Cricetulus griseus: one gene and its partner. The protein of the gene in region 2 purifies or fractionates together with the protein of the main gene of each other region. This does not show direct contact. Links are inferred from orthologs where the notes say so. Each region holds a gene or a part of one and is shown on either strand. Other genes may lie near its edges.

Region 1 (4,517 bases), on a different chromosome or scaffold from region 2:
CCCCTGGAAGGTAGAAGCAGGTGGATCTTTGTGAGTTCCAGGCCAGCATAGTTTACATATTAAGCTAGCTAGGGATACATTGTGAGATCCTGTTTAAAAAAAAAAAAAAAAAGTCAAGAATCTTACTGATGAATTTCTGTGTATTCATTCATTATGAATTGAAATTGTCCTGTTGTGGATCCGGTCGTTTAAATACATTATTGGAATTAATTTTATGCCATGTTCTGCTTTCAAAAATTGACTACTAAAACGTTTAAAATATATATATTTTATATATATTATTTTATAATATATATATATATATCGTCTTATATCAGCCATTGTAGAATGGGTTGCATTCATTTCTTTATAAGATAAAATGTCACCAAGAAGCCTTTGACAGAGCAATTCTAAGGATGCTAGCAGGGGTGTTGGTGGAGCGGGGGTGGGAGGGGAAGAGGCGGTCCCCTCCCCTGCACCTTTAGTCCCAAAGGGAAAGGGAGAGTAAGACCCCGGTGGTGGTGCCTTTTTTTTGTCTAGCAGAGAAGCTGACGCCGTTGTCAACAGATTCACAGATCATGTCTAAATATGACTAATTAAAAACAAACAAACAAACATCAAAAAAGCCCAACCAACCTGCAAACCATGGCGATTAAAAACAACAGAAAAGGGTGGGCGTTTTATGTAATTTGATGAGCATTACTATTCAGGCAGAACTCCAAAATATAGTACCTTCGGAAGGTTATTCATCAAATCCCAAATACGTTTGGTGATGACGTTTCAGTCAGTTCCTAGGATGGGTGGGAGTGTGTATGGGGTGGGGTGGGGAAGGGGGGGTGTCTAAAACATGGAGTGTAAACTCCGGGGAGTCGAAACTTTGCCAAGTTCATTCTTGAATCCTTAGCGTCTAGAGCCGTGTCTGACACACAGTAGGTGCTCCCTTGAAAAATCCCAAAGAGTTCCTGTGCCAAATGCTGTGGATGCTGCGAGGGCGAATTTGCTGGAGGAGGAGGCGTCTCTTCATCCAGCTTTTGTCAGTCTCAAAGGAATCTTGGGTTCCCAAAGGGTTAAAAAAAAAAAAAAAAAGCCCACTTAATCCAGGCAGAGACATGACATTTTTTTTTTTTTCGAAATAAATGTCAAGAACGGGTTATTCTAATTCTGGGACAGAGCCAGACATGGACATCTGGAATGATCTACGTCCAAGTAAAAATAAATAAATAAAAAAAATAAGACAAACCACCAAAAAAAAAAAAAACCCGAAAACCCAATCGCCACCATTTTCTCCAGGTAATTTTCCATCCCTGCCCCCACAGTCAAGAGACACAGGAAAAAAAAGTACTTCTTCCATCCAGCCTGGCTGTTTAAGAAAGAGGAAGGAGCGGGCCAATGAGCGGCGCGCGGGAGGCTGGGGCGCCGCGGGGGCGCCGCGGGGACCGCAGCCCCCCAAACTTTGGCAAGTTGCGGGCGGCGCGCTGCGCGGGGCGCGGCCGCGGGGAGGCCGCCCCCTCGACGCCCGCCGCCCCCTCCCGGTTCGGGGCCGGGCCCAGCACCGGCTGGGCTCAAAGTTTGCGGCCGCCCCTGCGCCGCGCGCCCGATGTATGGGTGATATACTGCGGCGGCGGCAGGGTGAGGGACGGCCATATTTGCCGGCGCGGCCCGAGCCGGCGACAACAAAAAGTGCGCGGGCGCCCGGTGGGCGCTCGGACGGGCGCGGGGACGTGGGGCCGCCCGGCCCGGGCCTCGGCCTCGCCGTCGCCGCCGCCGCCGCGCTCGCGCCTGGCCCGGCTCTGCCCGGGCGCGCCCGGCCGCCCGCGGGGATGTCGTACAAGCCGAACTTGACCCGCGCACAATGCCCCGCCGCCGCCCTCAACGCCGGTGAGTGGGCGCGGCCGCGCGCGCGCGCAAAGTGCCGCCAAGTTGGGGGCTCGCGCTGCCGGCCTCGGCCCGGGGCTCCCCGAGTCGCGCGGCGCCTGAAGGCCGGCGAGCTGCCCGCGGGTGGCGGTGGTGGTTGGGGATGTCCGCGGGCCGGGGCAGCGCGGCGCGCCGCCTCAGCCGCCGCGCCGCCCATGATTCCCGCCGCCCGTGCCGCAAAGTTTCGCGGTGCGCCGGAGCTCGGCGGGGCTGCGCGCTCGGGCCCGGGTGCGAGCGGCCACGGATGGCGGGGGAAGCAAGGAACTCGGGCGGCCGGCCGGCGGGGCGAAGAAGGCTTTTTTCCTCAGCCCCCCCTTTTTTTTTCTTTCCTTAGGATTTTTGGGCGGCTCGGCGAGGGGCCCCTGCCGGCGGGAGGCGGGAGCGGCCGGCTGCGCGGGGAGCGAGGCGCGGGGCGCCGAGGGTCGGTGGAGCGGGACAGGCCAGGGCCGGGCCGCGTGGCCGCGGGCCCCAGGAGGGAGCCTGGCCCGGGTCGCGGGCGGCGGGTGGGCAGGGGACCGCAGCCTGGGGGTGGGAGCGGCTCCTGGCTCCCCATCCCCCACGCCCTCGGGAGGTCCCTGGAAAGAAGTTGGAGTGTCCGGGCCTCGTGGGCACTGCGGGCGGCGTGCTGGGTCCCGCGGGTCTCCATCTCGGAGTCCCCACGTGGGTACGCGCCCCAAGGGCCGCTCTGCAGAAGCCCGGGGGACCCGGTCTCCCTTCCCCGCTGGGGCTGGCGCCTCCGGGAAACTCCTGCAAAGTTCCTAGACAGCTTTCGGCTGTGCAGGGGCTAGTCCCGAACCCCGAGGGAACCGGGGCGAGGGGTGTGAAACCGTGGCGCTCATAGGTCACCGGTCTTGTGTCCCCTCTAGTAACCCCCTAGACATTTGGCTGTGAACAGACCACCCCCTGAAACAGACGCGAGATAACGGGGTGCCAGGAGAGCTAAGGCCTTCTGTGGGAGTTGGGGTCCGAGTTGGTTATGGTCGCTGTGTCAAACATACTACCCATGTCGGCACTTACAACTTGGGGGTGGTCTTGTGTTGAAATGTTGATTCTAGAACTCCAAAAATCCTCTAGAGGACCTCGAAAAGCCCTGGACATGTGTTTTTAAACTTCTTGGACACTGGCTGCTCTTTGGGATTTACGGTGCCAGCTTGGGAGAGTTGAAACACGTGGGCACAGAGCCCCCCAAAGCATGCAGCCACTGTATCACCCCAGATGGTGCCACCCCCTTTGGGTGACAGGCTTTGTTGGCAGGTAGGATTTTTGTCTCCCAGCCTTCTTGGTCAGTGCCTGGGATGGAAGGTTAGTGGGTTGCGTTGTCAGGCTGTGGGAAGCCAGAGACAGGCTTGATCTGGGGTAGTTGCCCCAGGGTCAAAAATTGGGACCTTTTGGGGTTGTGGGTCACAGTGGCAGGCAGCCCCTGGGACTCTGAAGCCCTGTTCTGGGCTTGCTAGCACCTGTATTCAGCTCAAGTTCTTTTTCTAATGACGAATGCCAGAGGCGGAGCGGGGTCTTAAGGTGTCCGGCATTTTGGTGGGGCCCGCCCGCCCGCTTGCCAGTATTACTTTGCAGAAAGCCCTGCTCTCCCCTGCCATCTGCATCCAAGATGGACTCTCACAGTGGCTCCTCCGCCTTCCCTGTCATCATCCCTCACGCCCTCCAGCCCTGCCTCCTGCTCACTGAGTTGCCAAGCTGCGGCCTGGCCGGCGGTGGCAGTGGCGGAGTTAGACAAAGCCCCCGCCTCCCCCGCCCGAGAGCCCCCCCCAGGCGCCCCAAGTGGCGGGAAGGCCGCCAGCTCCCCAGGCCCAGGCCGCTCTTTGTCTGGCGTGGGGGCGGGGAGCTGCGCCTGGCCCCAGGAGCTTCCTGGCCTCTGCCAAGCCCTCCCGGCTCTCTGCACACTGCGCTCATTGTCTGAGATGCTCCACACCGGCTGTGCTGACGTGGAGCTGCCTCCCTGGCCTCCCTCAGCCCAGGTGCCAATATCTTAGGGAAGGAGAGGGCTTGAGTGGTGCGGAAGACCCTTCCACCACGACTTCAGGGGTGCGGAGGGGGGGCGGGCTGATATCTTCCCCAACACTGAATATGGGCCTGGCTTTGACATAATCAGTCAGGCACATCTCCACTCCTCCAGGGTGGTGGGAAAGCAAGCTCTGAGATCCTCCACCCATGTTGTGGTGTTTCTCATTCCTCCTCTACACCCCCAGCCCCCTAATCCCATCCCCAAAGTCATTAAAATGTGGGATAACTCAACTATTGGGAAGTTTCTCAAAGATGGAGAAACAGAGGCCCACAAGGGCCTTGACAGAGCTCCCACAGCCAGGAGTGGAGTGGCACTGCTGGGACAGACCCCCAAGTCCAGGAGAGAAGATGTGTCAGGGAGGTGAGAAATAGCAAAAAGCGTGGGAAGCACACGAGGTGCCCCTGGTGCTTCAAGGATGACCTTGTATGTGGTGCTGGAATCCTCTAAAGGCCTCAAATGCTCTATCATCACACACACACACACACACACACACACACACACACACACACAGACACAGACACACTCACACTCGAGCGCTCGGGGTCTATCTGAGCCTAGAAAGGGCTCGACAACCTGTAGTGGGCAGGATTGGAACTCACCTCCA
Region 2 (4,471 bases):
ACCCATCTCTAATAAGACTGGAGTTCACAAATTGCCCTTCTCACCATTTAGGGTTTCCTCACTGGGATTATCACCCTTGAGCTTCGGAGAGCACCTTGCATCTGGAAGGTGAGGAAGAGGAGAGAACACAGGCCTGTCCCCCTACTGCCCAACACACACACACACACACACACACACACACACACACACACACTCAACCCAAAGAGCAACTTATCCTCTCAGCTGTTTGTACCTGACCAAAGCAAGAAAGTAAAAATGTCAGAGGCCTGATGGTCCTGTTAGAATGTTAGAAGGGAAATAGCAGGATTTTGTTAGTTTTTTTTCTGCGTGTGTGTGTGTGTGTGTGTGTGTGTGTGTGTGTGTGTGTGTGTGTGTGTGTGCTGTGGATTGAACCCAGAGCCACGTGCACAACAATAGGCAAACACTACCCCTGAGCTAAAGCCCTAGCTCCCCCCCCCCAGTAAGTTTACTCAGTATGGTCTTGAACATATTCTGGAGTCCAGTCAGGCCTAGAACTTTTGATCCTCCTGCCTCAGCCTCCCAGGTGTCAAGGATTACAGGCCTACCTATACCACCAGTCCTGCCTCTGAGTTTTGTTTTCAGCTAGGCTGTAGGTGGAGTCTGAGCTTGGCATGAGTCCCCTAGGCTGGGCAGGGCTGAGCTGGCTCACTGGTAGGTGCGGGCCATGATGATATCCAACACTTTCAACCTGATCTTGGGCTTCATCGTGGTGGTGATCGAGGTGATGAAGACAGCACTGGGGCCTGCTCCTACTGCCCCCTCCCAGGTACTGGTGAAGGCGAAGAAAGGTACAGGGGAGAAGAAAGGGCAGAAGGAAATAGGGATTGTACCCCCCAAAAGCATCCTCACCCTGCTCCTGCAGTTGACAGGGTTGCTGGTGCTAGAGCTCAGCGCTGAGGCCTTCGCCCTAGGAGGAGTGCTGGTCTCAGCATATGCCTTATTCTTGCTGAGCCAGAGGAAGCCAGGATGCTTCACAAGGTCAAGTCTGCACTACCAGGAGCTACAGGAGGTAGGGAGTGCCGGGAGGAAAACATGAAGAAGCAAGCTTCCAGCTAATTTTTCTTCTGGCTGTACTAGTCAGTGCCATTTAAGGGCAAATAGTGAGGCAGTAGGGAAATGAAGGGTTGAAACTGACTGGCTTTCTGGCATTGGATGTTAGTCCCCCAAATGATGGATGTAAAGGAATTGGGTATTTAATGACTGGGACTACACGAGTGTGCAAACATTAGTAAGCTACCTTAATGTATTACTGGAAAGACTCGAAAAGCTGGGTTTTGCTTCTACCTGGGGTTTCTCCTTTCTTGACCCTAAAATTTGCTCACATCTGTTTTTCAGGGTCTCACTGAGGTGGAGGAGGTTTCTGGTTTGGAGAGTAGTCCCGTGGTGGCTAGCACAGGAAACAACAGATGAGTGAGTGGTCAAGACAGGTGCCACTGTCCTCCTACGCCAAGGGGGGCATTCTCCAGACACTTCTGCGTTGTGCCCCTCCCTCGGAATATAACTGAACTCCCCCAAGATGTGCATGAAGCCCGGAGGAGTGCCCTCAGTCTCCCTTCAAACCAGGCCCTTATTGTCAAGCTGCTTCCTCCCTTGCATTCTTGGCCTTCTTCCTCCCTGCCTCTCCATCCAGCTTCACATCTGCCTCATCTCACTGTTTTCGTCTGTTCACCTTTCACAATCCCATCCACTCCGAGCCCGGTTGCTGCACCCGCCAACCCGGAATCCGCGTCGGTTGTGCTCCAGGTCTCCCTTGGATCCGGGTCCTGCCTAATTCACCAGACTACAAATCCCAGGATGCCCCGCTACCCCGTGACCTACTGGAAAATAAAGGGCCTTCCCTCGGCGGCGGGGGCGCTGTGCATCTGCTGAGTGACGCGAGGCGCTGGGAGCAGGGCCTAGCCGAGTTTCCTCGGACGCGACCACTGGCCCCGCGTGCAGGGAGGAGCCGGGCGGGCCGTGGCGCACAGGGGTGCCGCCACCGCGGCCAGGCAACCGCAGCCTGCTGGGGGTCTCTAGCCCTCCCGCCTGCAGCTGCGGATACTGGCAAAGGCAGGGGGCCGGCGCCTGGCCGAGCCGCACTTCCCCAGGTGCTGCCGCCGCGCCCCTCGCGCCAGTGCCCAGGTTCAAAGTCCTGAGACTTGGAGCGCGCGCGAGAAGGGGGTTGGAGATGATGAGTCAGTGGCGCCGGCCCTCCTCGCCCCCTCCCCCCGGACCGGGCGCTGGAGAGGACAGGCTGGCTGGGCAGGCGGGGGTACCGACCTAGGACTTTTCCCGCCTCTAGCGAGCACGCTGGTGGACCGAGCCCGCGTGGCCGCCACCCTTTCCAAGGCGGGAGCAGGACTGCGCAGGCTCAGGCTCTCAGCCGCCCCCGGCGGGCCTTTGATCCCTGCAGCCGTTTGGTCGCTGAAGCTCTGCTTGCACTGAGCCCACACCGCTTATGACCTCTGCAAGTGTACAAAGATGACAGGCTCGGTGGTTTGGGGGAAAGCCCAGGAAAATGGTGGATCCCGATAACACCAGGAGGCAGCTTAGGAGCCGCCGAAAAGTAGAAATGAACTAGGCCTAAGAGAACTCACCCCAAATTCACATAGTGCCCGGGATGGGTGTTCGCCTCACATCATTTTTGTTCCCACTTGAGAAGGCTTCTTTCCCCTAGAAAATGCTGCTTCTCCGGGCTCAGGCAAGCCCAGGTACCAGTGAGGCTAGAGCGCAGCCTGGCTGGCTTGCCTTGACATTGCAGTGGCGCCAGCTGCAGATCCTTTCTGTTTGTGACACCTTGGGAGTGGTAATAGTCGCCCTATGACAAAGTTACGTGTGAGTATTAGTGGGTGGAGACAGTTCTGGGATCAGGCTCTGGAATGGAGAGAACCCAATCTGGGCCTCCCCCATTTCTTCTCTCCCCCAATCAAACTGCAGGAATCATGTGTGAAGGGCTCTGAAAAGAATATTTTTCTTCAAAGTCAGGACGTGGTGGCCAAAGAAACTATAGAGGGAATCAGCAATTTGCTGTCCTCCAGCCTTTACTGTTGTGACCGGTAGCCTGGAAATTGCATTCCGGATCTTAAGAGATGCTCAATGAACGTGTTGTCTCTTAACAATGCTGAATAATCAAGGCCAAGACCCCAGTGGTTTTATTTCTCGTTTATTGTCCAAAGTAACTGGCAAGGGGCTTTGCTCGTTGTAAATTATTAAGATCCCTTAGATGCTGAGGCTCCCTTTTTTATCTTCTTATTGGCTGCCTGGAACTTGCCATGTAGACCAGGCCCTGCTTGAACTCCCATTTGATTCACGTGTTTGTGAGTGATGGCATTAAAGGCATGAGTCACCATGAAGTTTGCACACACACACACACAGTTACCAACAATGTGAACTAAGCTTGAAGAATTGTTCGTGGATTCTGCAGTGGTTTTCCCCAAATGGATGCATGTTAACTTCCATCACAACTCATTGGTCAAAGCAAATCATAAAGCCACACTCAATGTCATAGGAAAGGCAATGTGGAAAATGAAGGGAAGCAGAAACAATTTAAGGAAAAGGTTAGGAATTTGAACCTTGAATCGATAAGTAGTTGGAATGTGTCTATTTAGCAGTTATACCCGTTTCTAATTGTTTAGTTCAGCCAACTTCTACGTGAAATTCTGGATGGGAAAAATTAAGACTGGGTGTCAGGAGAACCTAGATGCTAGTTCTGTTGCTTGGGTAAGTAAAATCTGTCTGGACTATACTTTGTTCACATAGCCATTATAGCCTATTTAACCTCTTTACCTTTCTGATGCACAAGGCTGAAATAGTGTCGCACAAGGAAAAGTACTTTAAAATTAGGAGGCACTTGAGAGGTCAAAAATACGTTGTCTAATAAGGTAGATAACGGTGTGGTGTAAATGAGTGAAGTAGATAGGGACTAAATGACAGGGTTGGAGGGAACGCATGGCACACACTACAGGTGTGAAAGGGTGTATGTACTCAACACCAACTACTGCCTCGTATGGCTGTGGGAATGCCACATTTTTTAATGGAAGTCAGAAATTCTGACTTTATGTGTAAAAATTCTGATTTTAAAATATTAATGAAACATTTTTTAATTCAAGGGTCACATTCAGCCTGGAGTTCTGTAGATTTAAACGTCAGTTTCTGCATTATGCAAATAATGTTGCAAGAATTTGGTTTGAATCCCAGCACTCAGGAGGCAGAGGCAGAAGGAACACTGTGGGTTTGAGACCAGCTTGGTCTACAGAGCGAGTTCTAAGACAGCCAGAGATATTCAGGGAAACCCTGTCTCGAAAAGCCACCACCAACAACAACAAGAAAAAGAATTCTGGATTGGGGTGTACAACATGGTTTGTGTAGCTCTTGTGAAATACAGGAGTGTTGGAGGTGTTAAACATGAAGTTACCTCTCCACAGCGTTTTGCTTTTCAGAAAAGGGTCGTTTTGCCTGCTGGGGATATTTT

Evidence for each region.
Region 1: the proteins of Znf219 (region 2) and Cdk2ap1 purify together in Homo sapiens (affinity purification with mass spectrometry; 3 studies listed by BioGRID and IntAct, counting the BioPlex papers as one, with this or other methods). This does not show direct contact. The link is inferred for Cricetulus griseus from reciprocal best matches to the Homo sapiens genes ZNF219 and CDK2AP1.

What each region holds. Positions count from the first base shown.
Region 1 is NC_048597.1:104,073,963-104,078,479, reverse strand, and holds the start of Cdk2ap1 (cyclin-dependent kinase 2-associated protein 1), read left to right. Parts: upstream 1-1,486; 5' UTR 1,487-1,580; coding exon 1,581-1,857; intron 1,858-4,517. UniProt on the Homo sapiens protein: Inhibitor of cyclin-dependent kinase CDK2. Also acts as a component of the histone deacetylase NuRD complex which participates in the remodeling of chromatin.
Region 2 is NW_023276807.1:207,073,234-207,077,704, forward strand, and holds the start of Znf219 (zinc finger protein 219), read right to left. Parts: upstream 2,808-4,471; 5' UTR 2,598-2,807; intron 2,466-2,597; exon of another isoform or gene 2,281-2,465; intron 2,072-2,280; exon of another isoform or gene 1,840-2,071; intron 1,791-1,839; exon of another isoform or gene 1,432-1,790; coding exon of another isoform or gene 1,357-1,431; intron 1,031-1,356; coding exon of another isoform or gene 677-1,030; intron 109-676; coding exon of another isoform or gene 52-108; intron 1-51. Other genes in the region: Tmem253 (transmembrane protein 253), read left to right, coding at 52-108, 677-1,030, 1,357-1,431. UniProt on the Homo sapiens protein: Transcriptional regulator. Recognizes and binds 2 copies of the core DNA sequence motif 5'-GGGGG-3'. Binds to the HMGN1 promoter and may repress HMGN1 expression. Regulates SNCA expression in primary cortical neurons.